Sus scrofa: one gene and its partners. The protein of the gene in region 5 interacts with the protein of the main gene of each other region in a pairwise test. Links are inferred from orthologs where the notes say so. Each region holds a gene or a part of one and is shown on either strand. Other genes may lie near its edges.

The links.
Region 1: the proteins of THAP1 (region 5) and ZCCHC10 interact in binary tests that used the Homo sapiens proteins (3 or more experiments, as listed by UniProt). The two-hybrid records come from large-scale screens. The link is inferred for Sus scrofa from reciprocal best matches to the Homo sapiens genes THAP1 and ZCCHC10.
Region 2: the proteins of THAP1 (region 5) and ACOT7 interact in binary tests that used the Homo sapiens proteins (3 or more experiments, as listed by UniProt). The two-hybrid records come from large-scale screens. The link is inferred for Sus scrofa from reciprocal best matches to the Homo sapiens genes THAP1 and ACOT7.
Region 3: the proteins of THAP1 (region 5) and AKAP17A interact in binary tests that used the Homo sapiens proteins (3 or more experiments, as listed by UniProt). The two-hybrid records come from large-scale screens. The link is inferred for Sus scrofa from reciprocal best matches to the Homo sapiens genes THAP1 and AKAP17A.
Region 4: the proteins of THAP1 (region 5) and tripartite motif-containing protein 26 interact in binary tests that used the Homo sapiens proteins (3 or more experiments, as listed by UniProt). The two-hybrid records come from large-scale screens. The link is inferred for Sus scrofa from reciprocal best matches to the Homo sapiens genes THAP1 and TRIM26.
Region 6: the proteins of THAP1 (region 5) and GPATCH2L interact in binary tests that used the Homo sapiens proteins (3 or more experiments, as listed by UniProt). The two-hybrid records come from large-scale screens. The link is inferred for Sus scrofa from reciprocal best matches to the Homo sapiens genes THAP1 and GPATCH2L.

The regions. Positions count from the first base shown.
Region 1 is NC_010444.4:135,304,510-135,308,653, reverse strand, and holds the start of ZCCHC10 (zinc finger CCHC domain-containing protein 10), read right to left. Parts: upstream 2,801-4,144; 5' UTR 2,582-2,800; coding exon 2,541-2,581; intron 1-2,540.
Region 2 is NC_010448.4:67,251,298-67,255,394, forward strand, and holds the start of ACOT7 (cytosolic acyl coenzyme A thioester hydrolase), read right to left. Parts: upstream 2,801-4,097; 5' UTR 2,799-2,800; coding exon 2,611-2,798; intron 2,067-2,610; exon of another isoform or gene 1,971-2,066; coding exon of another isoform or gene 1,834-1,970; intron 1-1,833. UniProt on the Homo sapiens protein: Catalyzes the hydrolysis of acyl-CoAs into free fatty acids and coenzyme A (CoASH), regulating their respective intracellular levels.
Region 3 is NW_018084901.1:902,435-905,573, reverse strand, and holds the end of AKAP17A (A-kinase anchor protein 17A), read right to left. Parts: intron 2,365-3,139; coding exon 1,423-2,364; 3' UTR 501-1,422; downstream 1-500. UniProt on the Homo sapiens protein: Splice factor regulating alternative splice site selection for certain mRNA precursors. Mediates regulation of pre-mRNA splicing in a PKA-dependent manner.
Region 4 is NC_010449.5:22,797,397-22,800,896, reverse strand, and holds part of tripartite motif-containing protein 26, read right to left. Parts: coding exon 3,483-3,500; intron 3,238-3,482; coding exon 3,007-3,237; intron 1,856-3,006; coding exon 1,833-1,855; intron 1-1,832.
Region 5 is NC_010459.5:11,767,603-11,770,321, forward strand, and holds part of THAP1 (THAP domain-containing protein 1), read right to left. Parts: coding exon 2,692-2,719; intron 1,259-2,691; coding exon 884-1,258; 3' UTR 1-883. UniProt on the Homo sapiens protein: DNA-binding transcription regulator that regulates endothelial cell proliferation and G1/S cell-cycle progression.
Region 6 is NC_010449.5:99,324,311-99,328,381, forward strand, and holds the start of GPATCH2L (G patch domain-containing protein 2-like), read left to right. Parts: upstream 1-1,271; 5' UTR 1,272-1,340; intron 1,341-2,883; exon of another isoform or gene 2,884-2,945; intron 2,946-3,446; 5' UTR 3,447-3,456; coding exon 3,457-4,071.

The DNA of each region.
Region 1 (4,144 bases), on a different chromosome or scaffold from region 5:
TTTCACTTCTACTCTTCTCATTCTGCATATAATTGTGTTTAAGTCTGATTCAAAGTTAGGTTCCTGAAAGATGTTCTGAATGGGAAGTTCAAAATTTCCTCTTTTCCTCCAAAGACTTTTAAAAAAAGAATGTCAATAGTACTTTCTCGTATATAACCTGTAGTTTAAAAGTGTTCTTATGAAAGTGATATATGCTCTTTATAAATAAAATTAAATCTTTTTTTTTTCACTGCTCCTGTAGCATGTGGAAGTTCCTGGGCAAGGGACTGAACACATGCCACAGCCATGACCCAAGCACAGCAGTGACAATGCTGGATCCTTAACCTCCTAGGCCACCAGGGAACTTACAAAGTTAAATCTTTTTGATAAATATAAAATGCAAAGTAAATGCTCCTATTCTGCCTTCCCCTCACCCCCAAAAATACTGGACTGCCCTTGCCTCTAAAGGGTCTCCCTCTCTGACTACTTGGGGACTCCTGACAGTCTGTAAACCATGACATGTTTTATTACACACCATGTTTGCTTCCCAGTAAGACCAAAACCTCCTAAAGCTGAGTTGTCTTTTACTTCGGTGAAGCTCATGTACTACATAAAGACACACTGCAAAAATGGAACATTTGTTTAATTCTGTGATACTTCCAAAACGTATGCTAAAAGTACTAGAAGTCTTACTTTCACTTCATATTTACAGTGGATATTGGTTGGTTTTGTCACTCTAGCAATCATTACCTCCTCTGACCAAACTACCACCACCACTGAGCTCTTCTTTGGCTTATAAAGATCCGTTCAATTATGCTAGGAAAAAAAATGATATCCAAATCAATCATAGCTTCATAATCCCATAGACCTGGTTCAGGGAAGGGCATAGAACCCAACCTAGACAGTGAGATGCTATCAACTTGAAGCTGAGAGGACATAAAGGACCCTAAATACAACAGCCTCTTAGGACCAAAGGAGTGAATCTATCCAAGTATGGAACCAACACACAAAAGAACAAACCTGAGAGTGAGAGATTAGACCCTGGTGACATTATTAGGCACACACCTATTAAGTACTGTCACTCCATTCTTAATCTCAGAACCATTTGACTTCAAAGTGCCCTTCCTCCAGCCAGCATACTACTTACTCTGATTCCCTAAGTCTTTATCCTTACGCTCAAGGGACTCTTTTCATGGGGCATGAGAGGAAGAGTCTGAAGAAAGGGAGACGTGGATGATCAGAGTTCTTAAAATAAAAAAATATAAATATAAAAAGAAATATAAACATACATTCGAGCAGACTGTGGGCAATAAATGAGAAAATGGTGAGGGCAAAAATGGCTGAGAGTGAAAAAGCGGCAGACAGTTAAGTGTGCAGGTTAGAAGAAGAAAAAAAGACTACAAGAAAGGGGCATCTGGGGAGTTCTCTTGTGGCACAGCGGGTTTAGGAAGCATTGTCACTGCAGTGGCCCAGATGGCTACTGTGGGCTCAGGTTCCATCCCTGGTCCTCGAACTTCCACATGCCTCAGACATGGCCAAAAAAAAAAAAACACGTTGGGGGGCATCCGGCATGAACTCCCTCATTATCTCCTCACTGCAAACCTCTTGTTGCGCGCCCTTTCACTAGCTCATTAGCTACAACTGGCCATCTTTCGGTTCTTAAAAACGAAGTTCTTTCCTGTCTCAAGGTATCTACTCCAGTCTAGATGCTCTTTCCTTTAGTCCTCTCAGGACTGGCTCCTTTCTCACACTTCAGATCTCTTCCAATGCCACAGAAACATTTCTTCAGAAAAGTCTTTCCTGGCCAACCAACCAAACGTGGATCTTTCTCTTTCCATCACCTCTTATTTCCTCTTCAAAGCTCTTATCAACTGTATTTACGTAAAATGTTTAGTTTATCGACTCCACCAACAGAATGTAAGCTTTCTGAAAGCAGAGGTTTTGCCTTGAACACTTCTTTTTCCTCATACCCCAAACTTGACATAGAATGATAGGCAATGCTTATTAAATTCTGCTGAAGAGAATGAACGGCAGAAAGTGAGAAGATAGTTCGGGAAAAAGTCGGCGTCGTAGTCAGCTGTTTCTAGGGAAGGTAACAGGAAGGGAGCAGGTAAAGCCAGATGGGCTGGAGGCCCTCACAGGAAGCGGAAGGTTTACGTCGGCGAGAAAAGGGGGTGTTGGATGAGGGCTGCAAGCTTCTCCCTGTCACGCGTGGGGTGGGCGGCTAACTTGTCAAAGGGGCATCAATCGCTTAGTGACCAACTCCGGGGCGTCCCGTAACCGGGAGCCAAACGCTAAACTCTCTTCAGACACCCCTAGGTCCCGCCTAGCGGTCCTACTCAGCCGTCGTCCACGAAATCGCTAGTCCACCGGACATCAAACTTAACGCCCGGGCCCCAGCCCCTTGCGGGGAGGCAACGTATGAGAAAAACGGCACCTTCGGCCGAGTCACAAAGAGGATCTGACACTGGCCCAGCATCCCGGCGCCCGCTCACCAGCTGGCTGACGCGCTTCTCCCCGCCCCCAGCCCGCCCCGCGGCCCGACTCCGGCCCTCACTTACGCTTGTCTCCGGGCTATGAGCCGATGCATGGGAGTCGCCATCTTAGCGCAGCTGACGCCCGCCGCGCAGGATTTTGGGAAGTTCCTCCAAGGGGGCGGGGCCTTCGAACCCTGGAGGCTGTCGGCGTGGGCGGAGCTAGTCCCGCCTGGCGAGTCGCGGGGGCAGCTTCTGGGGCAAGTAGGGGGTTGGGCCTGTGTCGGGCCCTTGTTTGAGGAAGAGGAGTGAGGTCGGTTGTCTCTTCTGAACAAGGCTTTTGAAGGGTGGGGTCATGTAATTGCTAGGAGAGACAGGGAAGAACATTCTCCAATGAGGTGTTGATCTGTTCCTTCCCTTTTCTTTTTTCACCTGTGGAATATGGAAGTTCCGAGGCTAGGAGGTCAAATCCTGGCTGCAGCTGCCGGCCTACGACACCGCAACTGGGAACCCAAGCCACGTCTGGAACCTATACCGCACCTCACATGGCAGCGTAGGATCCTTAACCCACTGATGGAGGCTAGGGCTCGAACCCGTGTCCTCTTGGATACTAGTCAGTTTCAGTTATTGCTTAGCCAGGGGGAACTCCTGGTCATCTTTATACACAAATGAATTTTTATATATAAATGAATGAAACTGCAGTGTTGAAGAAACTAGAAGTTGTCTGGAGAGCAAAGTGAAAAACAATGAGTTAAACAAGAGTAAGACCATCAGATGAGGAGTTCCCGTCAGTGGCTCAGCGGGTTATGAAACCAACTAGTATCCATGAGGATGCTGGGTTCAATCCCTGACCTTGTTCAGTGGGTTAAGGATCCTGTGTTGCCTCTGCTGCGGTGTAGATCAAAGATGTGGTTCAGATCCAGTGTGGCTGTGGCGTGGGCTGGCAGCTGCAGTTTGCATTCAACCCCCAGCTGGGGAACTTATATATGCCGCAGGTGCGGCTTTAACAAAACAAAACAAAACAAAAAAACCGTCCATTGAAAAATGCTGACCTTATCAAACCATCAAGTGCAATATATGTTAATTACTTACATTTTTATGTATATCATAGTGATGTTATAAGGGTATAGGTAAATTTGATTTGTCAACTGGAAAGAGTAACAAATATTAATTATTTAAGGATATTTTAGCATTTAATGACAGATCATGGAGGTTTAGTCTCCTAAATCCATTTTGTACAAATTTTTTTTTCTTTTGTCTTTTTGCCTATTTCTTGGGCCGCTCCCTTGGCATATGGAGGTTCCCAGGCTAAGGGTCCAATCGGAGCTGTAGCCGCTGGCCTATGCCAGAGCCACAGCAACGTGGGATCCAAGCTTCATCTGCAACCTACACCACAGCTCACAGCAACGCCGGATCCTTAACTCACTGAACGAGATCAGGGATCGAATCCGCAACCTCATGGTTCCTAGTCGGATTCATTAACCGCTGAGCCACGACGGGAACTCCGATTTTGTACCAATTTAATTCATTTAGACATTCTGTTTTCTTCCAAAGATCTGCTTGTGCCAGTATTTGTATGGCTTTGATTTCCATAGTTTATTTTTAGACTATTTTGATGTCTGGTAGGTCAAGTCTCTCCTAAATAATTCTAGTTCTCCTCAATTCTCTTTATTGCTCTTAAACATTCATTT
Region 2 (4,097 bases), on a different chromosome or scaffold from region 5:
CGCATCTTCAGGGCTAGCTCCAAAGACGAGCGGGACGGCCCACTGCAGTGGCCTGGCTGTCCAAAGGTCGGGCTCTGCAGGGTAAACTGTTCCTTCTGTTAACAACTGCCCAGCACTGTGCCAGAGGTTTTCATGCTCAGAGCCACCCTGAAACAGCCGCTGTTATTTTCTCCACTTCACAGACAAGGAGACGGAGGCCCTGCAAGCTTAAGAATCCAGCCTAAAGCCCACACCTGCAAGGGGCAGCCCTGGGATTCGAAAGTAGGCTCCTGGCTTCCTAAGCCTGTGTCCCACTTTTCGGACAAAAAGAGCTTCCCTTTACTTACAAGGTGCCAGACACTCTGCCTGGCACCAGACATACTTTCTTTAGCGCTCAGAAGAGCCCATGATAAAATGGGTGGGGCCCAGGAAGGTCGACAGCTTCCAAGGGGCAGAGGCCAAATTCACACCCAAGCTGGCTCTAACCACTGCCCTCCCCAGCCTCGAAAGCCCATCCCTTCGACACCGTCAAACCGAGGTCACGTGACACTCTTAACAGACGAGGATGCCACGTGAGGGGTTCTGGCATCCTCTCCCCGCTAGACTGTGAAGCCCCTAAGCTGGGGACCAAATCTTCCACGTTGGAGTTGGCCCTCCTGGCACTTCAGCCCTAGAGGCTTCCAGCGAAGCTTGTTAAATTCATAGGCTTGGCTGCCCCAAGCCAGGAGGCTCCTCTTTCAACATGGGCCATTGGCTCAGATGGCCTTAAAGAGCTTCCCATGCTGGTACATCCACTCTCCCATGTCCTGAGATTTCTCTAGGCCAAGCCCTGGTGACTGCAGGCCCTCTGGCAGTTGTGTTGGGCACCTGAGGCCGACCTCAGCCAGGTGCCCTGTCCATGTGTCCCCATTCAGAGACAATATGCCATTGTGAGTATCTGAGAGATAGGCAAGTACCACGGCTAAGAAGCAAAAAGAAGCATGGGCACACACGCGGAAGTGTGTCTAGTAAGGTTGGAAGCTGATTTTTAAAACGGTCACATATATGGACTGGCTAGTCATCACCCTGAGGAAGTAATAAGCCTTTCTGAGTACCCTGAAATCAGTATTCCATTTGGGGGAGAGCACAGTGCAAAAAACGCAGCTCCGGAGAGAGAGGACCTATCAGCAGCCGCCCCTCCCGCTCCTGTGGCTGGATGACCTTATGGAGGCAGTGCGTCTCCCAGGACCTGTCTCCTCTTCCACAGCAAGAGTGGTGAGATTCCTGCCATCCTCCCTCCCCAGGGATGCTGGGCAAACCGAGCAACATGAGAGATGTTAAAACCCTTTGCAAAGATGAACTCCAAGTTCACCTGGCCAATACGCAGCAGAGACGGATCTTAGGCCTAGACTCCAGGCCCTTCTGTCTCCCAGGATCAGCCACTTCTATTATTTTTGCCCCTGGAACTTGGAGTGGGTGGGGCCAAGACAGCCAATAACAAATCAGTGGTGAAAGACCCCCCCCTCCCCAGAGAATTCCTCTCCCTAGAAAGATCAAAACTGCCCTTGAGGTCAGGATTCAGGGCACCCCCTTGATACCATAGTGTATGCCCAGCCTTTGCCTCTTCTAAAGAGATGCCGGCATTCACAGGAAACTAATCTGGCTTGGACCCAAGGTCAGTGTGATGCCCAATCTCCAAATCTGAAGGACTGGCCCTCAAACAGGAAGCCGCTGTCACTCTCCGCCGAGGCATCAAGCAGCACAGGCCCCGTGGCAGGCCCCAGCCACCATTCGGCCTTCCTAGCTTCCTCGCCCCTCCTTAGCTCAAATGCCACCGTGCCTGCTTCCACTCGGTCCCAGGGAATGGAGAGTAACCTTGAGGCTGCCCTCCCGCTCCTGTCGGAAATGAGCCGGCTCGCGATCTCCCGCGCGTCCTCCAGGCCCTCGATCTGCCGGTGCCGGTGGAGAAAGGCAGGGCTGGTCCCCCAACAAGAACAAGCCTTTGCCCCCATTGTGTAAGATGCTTCCGGGCTCAACGACCATCCTCCCCTCCTAGCAGTGCAGTGTTACAGAGGAAGGGCATTTCCTGTTCTTGCTGTTAACAGCCTGCTCCCCCCGCCCCGCCCCAAACCGTGGCAGCGGACAGGAGGGACTGCATATCTGCAGCCCCCGCCCACTCGGGCGCCCACCGATGGGCTCCGGCCGCCGCCCAGCCAGCGGGTTACTTGCGCCGCACAGGTCGGGATATCCGGTTGGCTTTGCACCACCGCCCGGATCACGACCTCGAATTAGGGGGCTCACTGGGACCTGGGCTGGGGCTTCGGCGCGTTCGGGCACCGGGCGGGGCAGGGCTGGGCTGGGCTGGGCAGAGGGGGGATGCGCTCCGACCCCCGCCCAGGGGAAGGGCTCCGCACCGCTTCCTCATGCAAACGGCCTGCGTGACCGGAGATGCGCCGGAGGCCGGCAGAGAGACGCGGTGAGGCTGCCGGCTCTGCGGCGCCGGAGGCGCATCCCAGCCGCGGCGGGCGGGCGGAGTCCGGAGGTAACCGGCCCGGCGGGGGCGGGGACTGAGGAGGGGAGGGCGCACAGGGTCGGCCAGGCCCGGGCGGCGACTCGGAATCCTGGCCGCCTGCCGCCGCACGCCACGCTTACCGGCAGATCTGGATGGCGGACGGGGTATCCGCGGTGGGGCCCGACATGCTGGCTGCGGCGGCGGCGGCGGCGGCAGCGGCAGCAGCGGAGGCGGGCGGCCGAGGGAGAACGCAGGTGTCTGGCAGGCCCGGGGCGAAATGAATGAGCCCGGGTGGCGCCATGGAGGGGGAGGGGAGAGGCGGGGCCATGGTGCCAGGGAGGCGGGGCCTGCGCGCCGACCGCGAATCGAACACAGACTCCTGCGAAGGCCCGCCCCGCGCGCTCGCCTCCGCCCCGCCCCCCGGCCCGCGTCGGCTCCCTGGGCGTCCGGTTCTGGCGGCGGCTGTGGGGCCGCGGCGGGGCGCCGCTTCCAGAAGGTTCGGCGGCCGTTGAGAGGCACGGGCGCGGGGCTGGGCAGCCACCAGGGTCAGCCTCGCCCTGCGCGTGTTTGTTCGCGTCGTTACCCCATCCGCGGGCCTGGGGCGCGCCCAGGAGGCGACGAGGCCGCACCTGAGACCCAGATGCCTGCGTGGGCGGAGAGGCCTGCGGGAGGCGGTGGCCTGGTCGCGCTTTCTCAGATCAACTTCGAGAGGAAACTGGAGGCGGTTTTCTCGTAAAGGAGCCTTCCTGGCCAGGCTAGGGTGCGCAAAACGGGGAGCAAGAAGCCGTCAGGCCTCTGCTGCCCCAGCCTGCAATTGCAAAGCACCTCTGGGTTATTCCAAGGAGACTTTTCTAGAGCGCTGAGCATTGTCCTGGGAGTGCCTGACCTGCAGTGAAGAGCCCCAAAGATGCTAATAGGTTCTTTTGCATACTGTATCCCCTGCAAGGGAGTCCAGGCCAAGTTGAGGTCACAAAATCCGCCCAAAAAAGAGGGGGAAGGTGAACACATCTTTGTGTCGTAATTTCAGAGCGCTTTTACTCGATAAAACTACATATGACTTTTCCCCAATGTTTTGCAATGAACATAAATTGCTTCTATAGTCAGATTTTTGAAAATCAAAACCCACATAACTCAAGTTCTCCAGTGCAATTTGAAGACCTATTTATACGAAACTAAATAGTTCCTCCTGGTCACACCTGTATTACCAGACCATAGCAGCAGCCCACCACTTATCTATAAGCCTCAGGACCAGAGGGAGCAAACCGGGTCATGTCTATCATTTCAAGATTATTAAACTAAAAATGTCATTTTCTAGCACGAATTAAGTCGCTGCAGGTGTCTAGGGTCAGCAAGCCTGCGTAACCACCACTCAGCATGGGTCCTAGACTGGGGAATGGGCTGATTGGGTCAGAATTAACAGCCAGATCCCTGCCAGAGAGGGGCAGACAAGTTCCTGCTGGGGCGCAATGGGGTGGGCGCTGTCTCTGCAGCACCAGGACACAGGCTTGGCACAGCAGGTTAAAGGTTCTAGCATTGCTGCCGGTGTGATGTTGGCTGAAACTGGCTCGGATCTGATCGCTGGTGTGGGAACTCCATGTGCTGCAAAGTGGCCAAAAACACAAAACAA
Region 3 (3,139 bases), on a different chromosome or scaffold from region 5:
GGGAAGGGAACCTTTTCAATTCCCTTTTTTTTTTTTTCCTTCTATGGCTGCCCGCAGCATAGAGTTCCCAGGTCGGGATCACTTCCCAGCGGGAGCTGTGACCTACGCGGCAGCTGTACCAACACCAGATCCTTAACCCACTGTGCCGGGCCGGGGGTCGAACCCGTGTCCTGGCACTACAGGTGCCCCCGATCCGCTTGTGCCACAGCCGGAACTCGTGACTACTCTTTTGAAATGGCACCAGCTTTAAAGACGGCTTCTGTGAACCCGTTAGATGTTCTTTCTCTGTAAACAAACCGCAGGCCGTGGTTGCCGACGGCCCTGGCTCTCTTCCCAGGGGGCTGTTTTTACAAAAGTCACAGCATGAGAAACGTCGCTTTAGAAATCAGTGTGCAAAGATTTCCATCCATTTCCAACCCGGAAATCAGGCCCAGCTTGATGACAGAGCCCAGGGAACTTAAACACCACCCAGAAACCACAGAAGCACGGGAAACGTCAGCTTATTGGAAAAAAGACTTTATTTCACCATAAAAAGGCAAGCTGGGATAAACAGCGTCCTCCCCACGTGGACCTTACAGCTAGTGTGAACTTCACCCGGAGAAGCAGACCTTGTAAAAGATAACAAGTTTGCAGCCTTACATCTGTTTGAAACGTTCCAAGTAAAAATAACTTAGCAAAACAGCTTCTTAAAAAACCACACAGGCTCACCTGGACTAGAAACCAAAGCTAACTGCCCCCACCTTCCTTTTCCACGGACTCGCTCGGGTGTGGAAAACGTGAACGTCTCCGACAGCAAGGAGCACTCGCGCGCCCGCCCGCCCGCGCCCCTGACCAGACCGCGAGGCAGAGCTGCCGCCTTGCAGGACTCGCGGCTTCCCGGCCCAGAGGTCACCACAGCGCTTCCGGCTCCCAGCAAACTTGGTGCCCAGCCCGCTCAAGTGACACACAAGGGAGAAAGGCAACCCCCAACAGGCGTCCTGGGCGGGGCTTCCTCCTTCGGGTGCCGTGTGGGGAGGCGGCCCCCACGCGGGCCCACGCGGCCGCGGTGATGGAGGGACCGTGAGCGCAGCCGCGGGAAGTCGGTACCAGGGGCGAGCGCAGAGGCGCGGGCTTTTCTGCGCTGCCCGCCCGCCGTGCCCGGTGGGTCTGCGGTCCGCACGGCGCCGGCCCGCGCCTCGTTCCTGATTCCGAGGACTGGCGACGTTAAAGCTATCGGAGTTTTAAGGGAAACTAAAGCTCGGGGCTGTCGACGCCTCTGACCGCGGCGGCGGCGGCGGGTCTGGAGGAAAGGAGCCTGGCCGCTGCCGGTCGCCCGGTGGCTCCCTGGGTGTGCTGGGTGGGGACGAGCAGAGCAGCAGCAGCTCGACGCCGCTCCCTGGGTCCCGGGCCTCCCGGAGGGCGGCGGCCTGGGCCCGCCCTGCATTACCTGTTCCAGGCGCTGCGGTGCTGGCTGGGGGACCCGGAGCGCGACCTCTCGGTGCGGCGGTGGCGGCTGCGCTTTCGGCTGGAGCTGCCCCTGCGGTCCCGGCTGCGCTCCCGCCGGCCGTGCCGGTCTCTGCTGTGGGACCTGCGCGAGCGGCCCCGCTCGGAGCTGGCGCTGCGCCGGTGCGGGCTGCCGTCCTGGTGCGAGCGCTTCTTGTGCGGCCGCCGCTCCTTCCGCGGCCGGCCGTCCTCCCGGCTGGCGGCGCGCCGCGTCCGGCTCCTGGCCCGCGCCTGCCGGTCGTCGCCGCTGCGCTCCGCGCTGGCCCGGCCCCGGCCGCCGCTGGGCTCGCGGTTGCACTTGTCCTGCTCGGAGCGGACGTCCTTCCGGGGCGCGCTCTGGTCGCAGGCGGCGGGCACCGCCCGAGGCTGCTGGCTGTTGTCGGGGATGCAGGCCAGGACGCCGGGGCACCTCTTCTCGGGAGGGCCGTCGTCGGGGGCCGCCAGGCGAGGATGCTGGCTCTCCGTGCCCAAGGCCTCCTCCACGACGCTCCCGTTCACGTTCTGGGGGCCACCTTCGGCCGCCGGCTGGGGCGGGGTCTCCCTGGGGGCGCCGGGCGCTGGGCCGGCGGGGGGCTGCAGTGCAGCGGCACCTGCGCCCACGCAGCCGGCCGACACCGTGTGCAGCATGGCCAGCACGGGCTGCAGCAGGGCCGCGCGCGAGACACCCGGCTCGTCGGGGCCGCGGGGGTCGTCGGCCTTCTTGCCCAGCAGGATGCTGAGCAGGCGCTGGCGCAGCTCCCGCTCCTTGCGCTGCAGCCCCAGGGCGCGCTCCTTCTCCTCCTCCACGCGCCGCAGCTCTGCCTCCTGCAGCCGCCGCCGTTCTTCCAGCTGCTGCAGCCGCTGCGTCTCCGCCTTCTGCTCCTGCTGCTGCAGCTTCAGCGCCTACAGACAGAGGGGACGCTGAGCGGGGCTTCTGAGCCCTCCGGGACGCCCACGCCGCAAGGGGAATGCAGGTCACTGTGGCTCTGATCACACCCTGCACCCACAGGGCCTGGGGGCGGCCTGGCTGGAGGCCCGCCGCCCACCGCGACCACACCCGAGGCCCGCGAGCCTCAGCGCAAGGAAACCCCTGGCAAAGTGAGCCGAACGGCCACCACGGGGCAGGCCTTTCAGACGGGCCGAGTCCCCGCAGGCCACACAGACAGCAGACGGGGCCTGCTGCCGGGGGCAAGGTCGCCGGGAAGGGAGCTGAGATCCCCTGCGGACGCAGGCGGCCCAGGCCTGCAGGGGCGGCGGGGCGCGGCCTGGCCGGTCTTCAATATTCACCATGAAACAAGAACGAGCTGCTGCATGTCTCAGCGCGCCCGCCACGCTCCTTCCCGGGGGCTGATCACAACTGGAATCACACAACAGGTTAGGGTCGTCCCGCGCCCACCTCCCGGGGCACGCGGCCGGCCTGAGCACCAGGAGTGCGGGGCCAGGTCCGTCCGCGCGCCCCCGGCCGGGCGCGCAGGAGTTACCGCTCGGGCCTTCGGGAGGAGCGGGTGGGAGGAACCAGGAGAGTGGTCCGCACAGCAGCGCTGAGACCTGCCCGGCTCGCGGCCGTGGAGGAAAGGCGCGCGCGGCCAGGCCCTGGCCTCCCGGGGCTAGCGCGGCCGCGGCCCCTGGACCAGGCTCAGCCTGTTCTCCCGCGGGGGTACCTGGCGGAGCCCTAGCT
Region 4 (3,500 bases), on a different chromosome or scaffold from region 5:
AAGCAAACAAAACAAAATATCTAGAAAACAATGAAAATATCATAGAAATTATGGCATATGACAAAAGCAGGGCTCATATACATACAAAAACAAAAAAAAATATTTAAAATAGAAAAAAAGAAGAGAGAGGCAAGTAGAGGAGTCAAAAGTAGAAATACACAAAACAAACAAATATATTCAGATACAAAGAAATTAAATTTAAGGACATTATTAGGCAAACCATGCAAATACTTTTAAAAATATAAGTGAAAATGGTGATTTTCCAGGCACTATAAATAGTAAACATTCCAATTTAAAAGTGTCAGAATGAATTTATTTAAAAAGAAAACAAAAATTTATGGCCCTAAAAAGACAAAAGACAACAAAACAAAACAAAACAACAACAACAACAAAAAACTGCCCCGGACTTCCTGTTGTGGTTCAGCGGAAATAAATCTGACTAGGAACCATGAGGTTGTGGGTTCAATCCCTGGCCTCACCCAGTGGGTTAAGGATCCAGCATTGCCGTGAGCTGTGGTGTAGGTCGCAGAGGTGGCTCGGATCTGGAGTTGCTGTGGCTGTGGTGTAGGCCGGCAGCTGTAGCTTTGATTCGACCCCTAGCCTGGGAACCTCCATATGTCTTGGATGTGGCCCTAAGAAAAAAAAAAAAAAAGAAAAACCACCAAACCAATGCAAAAAGAAAGAAAGAAAGAAAGAAAACAAAAACACAGCAGAACACAGAAAGGTTGAGAGTTAAAGGGTAAAAAGTTAAATAGCATGCAGACACTAATCAAAAAAAACACTAGAATAATTTTACTAACATTAGACACATTACTCTGGGGCAAGAAGTACCACCCATTCGGCATCACTCTCCTTAACTGAATAACTACTCATCTGTAATTGTCTCTGTCTAGTCTCCCCAGCCAGAGTCTCATCACCCTCCTTTCTACCCAGTAACTGCTCCTGCTCCACAGTAAATGTTAAGTATAGGCTAATAATCCTGGATGTCTCCAGGATGAACTGTGTTTTTAGTAACATACCTGCCTTGTATCTCTGTTCAAAGCTTCTGATATTAGGCAGGTATAATTCCTGTCAAACTATCACAGAAACCATTATCCCTATGACCCATATGAGAGTCCACTTCTTTTTTTTTTTTTTTTTGTCTTTTGTCTTTTTAGGACTGTATCCGCAGCATATGGCGGTTCCCAGGCGAGGGGTCTAATCAGAGCTATAGCTGCTGGCCTACATCAGAGCCACAGCAACACCAGATTCAAGCCATGTCTGCAACCTACACCACAGCTCACAGCAACGCCGGATCCTAAAGCCACTGATCGAGGCCAGGGATCGAACCTGCAACCTCATGGTTCCTAGTCGGCTTTGTTTCCGCTGCGCCACAACGTGAACTCCGAGAGTCCACTTCTTATGGTCAGGCAGAGAGCAGGAAACCATCACTACGGAGCATGGAGGACAATGCAATGATGAAACATGCTGTACAGCATATGAGGGAAGCTGTGCCAGGAGAGGCGGCAGGGAACCAAGTAGGAATAGAAAGAACAAAAAGAAATTGAGTTTGATAAACAAACACATATGCTAAATTTTCTCTAATACCCTCCCATAATCTCTTCCCATTTCCCTTCTCCCTATCCTATTACCATCCTAAATTCCATGACAATAATTTTCCAGAACTCCTTCCCCCATTCCATGGAATATCTTTCAACTTATCCATTCTAAAAGAACCTCTCTTCCTCCCAAGAATCCCTTTCCCACCCTTGCCAAATTTCAAAAAGGTGACAGAAAGAAAAAACAAAGGGACACCTAAGTGATTAAAAAAAAAAAAAAAAGGCAACACCTACCTGTTTATTATGTCACTTGGGTCCTGGAAAGGAAGAGAACACAGATTGTCATAGAAACAAGGTTCCCAGGAGCCAACACCATTCCCTACAATGGGCTTGTTGGGGAACAGGGGAGACCATACAGAGAATTATTCTGTACAGGGCCTAGTCCTATTCTGTGCTCCTCTGTAATATCCATTTATGAGGGCATATGTTTCCCCTTCTTTTTCTCCATTTGAGTTCTAGACTAGTCCCTCCAGGACCCTTCCTTTTCTTTTCTTCTTCTTTCTTTTTTAATGGCTGCACTCACAGCATATGGAAGTTCTCAGGCCAGAGAGTGAATCCAAGCCACGGCTATGACCTATGCTGCAGCTGTGGCAATGCCAAATCCTTTAACCCACGGTGCCAGGCTGGGGATCAAACCCGTACCTCCGAAGCAACCCAAGGAACTGCAGTGGGATTCTTAACCCATTGTACCACATTGGGAACTCCCAGGGGCCTTCCTTAATCTGTTAAGAATCTTATTGTCTATCAAGATAAGACTGAAGTCTCAGCCTGGCTTGGGAGGCCTCTACTCGGCTGGCCTCATCTTCCCTACCTCATCTTCCCTTAAACGTCTTCCTCACTTAGGCTGACGCCTCCAGAAAGGTAGCCCCTTTCACTCTATGTCACCTTCACGTCTTCCAAACCATCTTCCTCAGCACCTTCACCCATCTTTTTACTATCATACTCGTTAAGCTTATTATCACATTCATTTACTTCATTTTAACCAATGCACCTCCACCAAAGAGAATGTTCAATTCCTCCTTCTTGCTAATTCAAATCTTTACATTTTCTTCAAGGCTACCCTTACGGGCCGCTAATTTTGTGAAAGCTTCCCTGATTAAACCCTAGCCTTTTCCGGAGTTCCTGTGGTTTCAGTCTGAACGCAAGATTTAACACTCAGTTATTTCTCGTGATTATAAATGTATAGCTCCTTCTACTTCATTGTGTGATCTGTGCATATTACAATCCCTGGCCCATTGCAATTTGGGACTTAAAGCCTATTGGTTTACTGATTAACTTATCAAGGAATTCAATACATGAAAATAAAACCTTGTCTCTCCTGACTCCTTGTCCCTATCTCATGCTAATGGAGGGGCCACACTGTAGCCTGGAGCCAGAGGACTCAGGCACCATTTAGTTGGTCCCTCACCTGCAGAAGTTCAAGTGCTGGCTGCCGAGCCTTATTCTCTAACTCAGTAATCAGGGTCCCAAGCCGGACGACCTCCTCGGAGCCCTTGGTGACATGGCTGTTCCTCCCTTCAGTGAGCTCTTGCTCCATCCCCTCCAGACACTCCAACAGGTACTGCTCCCTTTCTCTCAGGAACCGATGGCCTTGCTCAAACACGGATGCTATGTCTTGCTTGTGGTTCTGGAATTTTGCCTAAAGGCAGAAAGAGAAAGATGATTTCTTCTGACAGGCTAGGAAACACCAGAACATTTGTGAGATCTGGGGATGAATTCAGAACAAGGATCCCATCCATCACACCTTCCCTCTCCCCATCCTTCAATATCCCTGCGCAGCCCCCCCCACCGCCCCGAGTCCCAGCCCATACACACACTCCCCCCCCACCCCCTCACCCCCCCCACCCCCGTGTACATAGAAAATTCACTTGAGACTTCTCTTACCAGCAGGGCCTGAATCTC
Region 5 (2,719 bases):
TAAGATTTCCAACTTAGGGTACAAGTCAAACTTGACGAACACAACTCATCTGTTACAGATGTGGATGCAGATGAGCCTACAGCTGGGGGCCTGCATGCCCCTCAGCTTGGAGCAATGACAGAAAAAGGCAGACCATGTACCGGGCCCCCACTTTCATGACTTCATTGATAATAATGCCTCCTTCGTTTACAGAAGAATCTCTCTCTCACTGGAGATACACTTCTAATTCTGTAACGCGGGACAGCAGGGAGAAAGAGATTAAAGAATCCATTCTTTAAAGTCATTTAACCATTTTGATTTCTCCTTTTCTGCTCTGAAGACAACCAACTTTTTTTTTAAGTATTGACTTTCCAATTTATCTTTGATAAGTGATTAAGAAAGATAAATGAATCATCTGTCTTTACAAATAAGAATCTGTGAATAAGAATATACATATGTATTCTGAGAAATTATGTCACATGCTTCTGATTTAGAACATAACTATGTTTTCTCAATAAAATGCATTAATTTACAATTTTAAACTTAAAACTTAAATCATCTTTACTGTGTTGTTTTCATTTTCTTAACTTTTTATTGTTATATCATTTCTATAAATACTCAAATTAAAAAACAAAAATCCTCAATCTTGAAACTAACTTACATTGAAGGTTTGAGGTTAGTTTAGAACTCTGAAAATAGTTTGTTAAAATGTAAAAACCCTGAAATTACAAACCAAAATTTTTACAATTTTACAGTATATATCTAATTTATTCTTTTAAAAAAATATTCTGAATTGTTTTTATACAAGTAATCAAGTGTAATTTCTTTCAAATGAAACTCCTCTACAGGCTAGAAGAGGGTATGTGGTATTGCCCCATTAAAACCCAATAACAAATTTCACTTTTCACGCTGGTACTTCAACTATTTCGAAATAGTCATTTGGTAGAATCACATAACCCCTCTCTGAGACGTCGTCTTTCTCCTTCTGAAAGTGTACAACCTCCTTTAACTTTTCCAGCTGTCGCTCCTGCCTCCTGCATCGCTGCTGCGCAGTCTTGAGTTTCTTTCGGAGTTTTTCAACTTGTTGCTCTAGCTGGTGAATCCTTTTCCTCTGGTGCATGGTGTCCTCCACAGTATAGTTGTGGTCACAGAACACAGAGAGATTATCCGGGGTCTGCAGAGGAGGCATGAGTAATCCGATAGCAGCGTCAACCTGGGAAATGGGGGGTGTTAGAGGAGGTGGGGGGAGCTGTTCCTGTGGCTCCAGAAGATCTTCCTTCTAAAACAAAGATGCAGAGCTTGTCAGAATTCCATAACTAAAATAACAGTTTAGGAGTTCCTGTTGTGGCTCAGCGGAAAAGCATCCTTCTAGTATCCATTAGGGTGTGGGTTCGATTCCTGCCCTCACTCAGTGGGTCGGGTATCTGGCATTGCTGTGAGCTGTGGTGTAGGTCGCAGATGTGGCTCAGATCCTGAGTTGCTGTGGCTGTGGCATATGTCAGCAGCTGTAGCTCCGATTTGACCCATGCCTGGGACCCTCCATATGCCACAGGTGTGGCCCTAAAAAATCAATTAAAATCACATAGAACATTTCCAGGATAGATCATATGCTTTCCTAAACGAGCTTGAAAGCCCTAAAAAGCAAAAAACAAAACAAAACAAAAAAACTCACAAAAAACCAGTTTAAAACAATTCACCTGTGGAATTTAAAAATACACTTTTTTGTTTCCTTGGTAGAGAAACATCCTAAAATAAGAAAATAGTTTAAGTCCTAATTATACTTTTCTATCTGAAGTAGAAATGGGATGCAAGAATGACAGCACTATTAATAACATTTAATTAAATACTAAGCACTTAAAAGTGAGGTAGGAGGGAGTTCCTTGGTGTTCGAGTAGTTAGACTCAGCATTTTCACTGCTGAGGCCTGGGTTCAATCCCTGGTCTGGGAACTGAGATCCCACATCAATCCACTGTACTCCATAGCCAAATCCAGAAAAGAAAAAAACAAGACAAAAAAACTTAGGGGGAAAATACTTTGAAACTGAACTATCACTGATAAAGAAAAATAAAATTTATCGACATTTAAGTAGGAATACAGAATGAGCTTATGTTAATGAAGCTACACCGAGCTTCTTTGTGTGAGGATATTTAACTCGAATAAACTGTACTGTGTATTTTTAAAAAGTATTTCACTTTTTAAAGTGAACAGTGGTTATTTACAAGGGATAGGTCCCAGCTAACATTTATTTTCTTTCTTTCTTTTTTTTTAGGCTGCACCAGGGATTGAACCCGAGCCACAGTAGTGACAACACAGGATCTTTAACCTGCTGCACCACCAGGGAACTCCACATTTATTTTCTTAACACTGCTCGAATTTTCAAAATTTTCACAATAAACATTACTTTTATAAACAGAAAACAACCTGATATTTTATTTTTATTACTTTTTTTTTTTTTTAGGGCATACCCGAGGCATATGGAAGTTTCCAGGCTAGAGGTCGAAATTGGAGCTGCAACTGAGACCTACGCCGCAGCCACAGCAACACCAGATCTGAGCCGCATCTGCCACCTACACTGCAGCTGGTGGCAATCCTGGATCGTTAACCCACTGAGTGAGGCCAGGAATTGAACCCACATCCTCGTGGATACTAGTCGGGTTCTTAAACCACTGAACTACAATGGGAACTCCCCCAATATTTTAAAACACATCTTACCTTGTCATGTGGTTCAGTACAAAGAAAT
Region 6 (4,071 bases), on a different chromosome or scaffold from region 5:
GGTCAAATGGCATGTGCATATTTAAAAATAAAACTTTTTATTTCAGAATAATTTTTGGTTTACAGAAATATTTTGAAGGCACTATAGGCAGTTCCTGTATACTCCACACTGTTTCCTCTATTATTAACATCTCACATTAGTATAGCACATTTGTCACAGTTCCAATGATCCAATGTTGAGATAACATTAACAAAAGTCCAGATTTCTTTATTTTTATTAATGTCCTTTTTCTATTCCAGTTATCCCATCAGGATATCTCATTACATTTAGTTGTCATGTCTCTTTAGACTCCTCTTGGCTGTGACAGTTTCTGAGACTTTCCTTATCTTTGAAAATTTTGACAATTATGAGAAATGCTGGTTAGACATTTTGTAGACGGTCCCTTACTTGGGAGTTGTCCATTTCTCCCTTTATGATTTGATTGGGGTTGTGACCTGTGGAAGGAAAGTACGGTAGAGATAAAATGCCATTCTCCTTCATATGGGATCTAGTCCACATACTATCGACATGTTTTATCACTGTTTATGTGAACCTTGATCACCCAGCTGAAGTAGTGCTTATCTAGTTTCTCCACTATAAAGTTACTCCCCTCTCCCCTTTCCATATTGTACTCATCGGAAGGAAGTCATTGCAGAGTCCACATTTAGAATCGTGAATTATGCATGCCTGGAGGAGTATCTATATAAATTTCTCGGAATTCTGCACCAGATATTTATCTCTTCTTACCCATTTATAAATTTATTTGTATCAATAATTGACATATCAGTTTGGCCTATGGATATTACTTTTATATTTCAAGTTATAATCCAAGACTATTTTACTCGCTTTGTTACTCAAGGCAAGTGTGTTTTTAGTAGTCTGAGTAACTCACTATAACGCTACCCCGCCAAAGGGGATACAACCCGAAGGGTTCCCTAACTTCAGGCACCTTTTATAAAGTAGATAGGCGAGCAAGGGCGAGGCCGATACCTCTCTCCAGCGTCCAATTTCCTGACGCCCTCAAGGTAGATGAAGCCTGCCAGGGTAGGCCCTTCCCCAAGACCGTCACCTCCACCCCATAGGCACCCCATGAATTGCCTGCCCCCTGACCGCCTCCCCTCCTTGCGCCTTGCCTTTCTTCCGGGTTCCTTGCCCCACCCCCACCCTCGTGGGGCGGAAGTGGGCGCGGCCGCGGGCAGGAAACGCTCGACAGGGGCGGGCCCTCTCGCGCAGACAGCCCCTCCCATTCTACCCCCGTCCCACCCCTCCGGCCCAGACCGGAAATGAGGTCAGAGAGGGAAGCCCCGGCGGGGAGACTCGGCCCCAAAAGCGGCGGCCGTTGGAGGTGGCTGCGGCAACCGGTGAGGGGGAGGGGAGGTGTGGGGGTCGGGGCCCAGGAGGCCGGGGCCAGCGAGGATCCCGGCTCAGGGCCGCTGCTGAGTGTCCAGAGGCGCCGCGGAGCCGCGGAGGCCGGCGGGAGGGGCGAGGGTGACGGAGCCTTGTTTTTCAGGGCCCATCTCGGGAGATGAAGGTCGGGCCATCTCCGGGGCGACAGTCACCTTCTCTCTTCTTTGCTTTCTGGCCCTTTGGGGCTGGCGACAGCGAAAGGGTTTGTTGCCCCGAGCTGCAGTCCCCCTCGTCCTTGGGAGCGGGCCAGGGCGTGGGGGGTAGTCCTTCGAAACACGCTTTTTCTCACGTACGTGGCCATGTTGCGACCCCTGAGCCCCGAGGGACCCTAGTCGTCAGGATTTGCATTTTGTCAGTTTCTGCCCTAGAAGGGCTGACCCCCTGACCCGGGTCAGTCCAAAAGAGAAGTTGCCTCCTACGCTCCCTCCCCCAATCCCGTCTCCCTCTCCGACCCTGGCCCGGCCTCTCATTTTACTTCTACTAGTTTCGAGATCCTTCCTTTGCGGCGGAGAAAACAGCCTTTTCTGCTTGCCTGTCTCGGGGGTCTTATCGGACTGTGCATCCAGGGAGGGCTGGGAGTTCCAGGGTTCTTCTGTTACTGCTCTAATTGCAGCCTTTGAGGCAAGCATTCTCCTGCACAGGCATTTGATTGGCAAGTTGTTCGGTAACTTAGTTCCAAGTTGAAGTTTGTACACTTCTGCCTGTGGTTTTTAAAGCAGTAGTTCTTTTCAGGGAAATAGATTTAGATAAGTGCGCCCCCACTTATATAGCTTGGTTTTAGGGACAGTTGTTCGCCAAACCCCAGTCATGGAGATTTAAACTACTTATTGCTTAAAGAGACTTGGTCATTTTATGAGTGTGGCTTTTTACACTGAGAAGTTTCGTTTGGTTGGTGGTTTTGGAGCTAGGTGCCCTTATTGCTCCTTCTGCCTTTGAATTGGTTGGCATGAAAATAGATTTTTAGGAAGTCCTTTGCAAAATGTAAACCGTTGAAAGGTAAATACGGTCTGAGAGTGGTGCCACAGAGTTTTAAACTCAAATTATGATCTTGAAATACATTGGACTTAAGGGCTAAGGAAAAAGAGCTAATTTAAAATGTATTTAATTAGATGTATGAAATATATTAGACATTTCCTTTTAAGAGGGCATATTGAAAATCACTCCTCCTCCTCTCAGGATCTGGAAGGTTTGCCTGTGAAGTGATCCCTGAAGTATGATGGTTTGACAAGAATAAGTTGAAAAATAGGAAGTTTTGGAAAGCTGTTAGCTGGACATTGTAGACTCCACTCATACTTGTCATTTCAGCCTCAGTTATATCCTGTGATTATCTGGCCCTAAGCACAGAATTTGGTTGATCATTCAATTTATTTTTCTGAAGGATGAGGAGAACTTAAAAGATTCTAATTATTCATGTACTCTATAAGGCTCTTTACTTGGTAGCTTCTGGGTGGTAGTTGGGACCAGAATGGGTGCCGATTTTTTTTTTTTTCCATGCAGAGAACAAGCCTGGGTCACTATAAATTCTTGGATCACTAAAACTGCAAGCAGTCTTCCAGAAAGTATGTCACTAAGTTGTCTTTCTGTTCCTGCCACAAGCACTCTTATTAGTGACCCCAGACCATAGAACAGTCTTTCATCCTGGTTTTGAAGTTGAGTGTTTTTCCGCTCCTATCTCATGAGACATTTTCTCATCTTTTTAGATCTCATCATCAGGTAATTTACTTTAGCAAGTTTAATTGGGGGAAAATGGGAAGGGTTTATTTCACTGAGTTTGCTTGTTGTTACTAACAACCCAGTTGTCATCTGGTGCTTAAGAATATGTTGACCTCAGGAATTTAACAAGTGCCAGACACCTATGTTTAGTGGTTTAAGGGAGTATGGATGGTAGGAATAGAGTCTAAGTGTAGCCAGGTAAAAAGTGACTTTATTTGCTATAGATAGGGTGCACTCTGCAGTTCCATGATCAATTTTTTAAAATTATTCAAAAACAACAGATCCTGAGTCTTTCTTTTTCTTCTTTCTTTCTTTTTTTTTTTTTTTGGCGAATTTCCATTTGGCAGATGTGGCCTCATGGATGAGCTGGTACATGACTTAGCCTCAGCCTTGGAGCAGACATCTGAGCAGAATAAGCTCGGCGAGCTGTGGGAGGAGATGGCCCTGAGCCCTCGGCAGCAGAGGCGGCAGCTTCGCAAACGGAGAGGCCGGAAGCGCCGTTCAGACTTCACTCACCTGGCAGAGCATACCTGCTGCTACAGTGAGGCCTCTGAGTCAAGTCTGGATGAAGCCATTAAGGACTGTCGAGAAATGGCCCCAGTCACCAATTTTAGTGACTCTGATGACACGATGGTAGCCAAAAGGCATCCAGCTCTCAACGCCATTGTTAAGAGTAAGCAACATTCTTGGCATGAGTCTGACTCCTTTACTGAAAATGCACCTTGTCGACCGCTCAGACGCCGTCGCAAGGTGAAGCGAGTGACATCAGAGGTGGCTGCCAGCCTTCAGCAGAAACTCAAGGTGTCAGATTGGAGCTACGAGAGAGGCTGCAGGTTCAAGTCTGCTAAGAAGCAGCGTCTGTCCCGCTGGAAAGAGAATACTCCTTGGACCTCCTCAGGTCATGGGTTGTGTGAATCAGGAGAAACGAGGACTTTCCTAAGCAAAACAGGAAGAAAGGAAAGGATGGAGTGT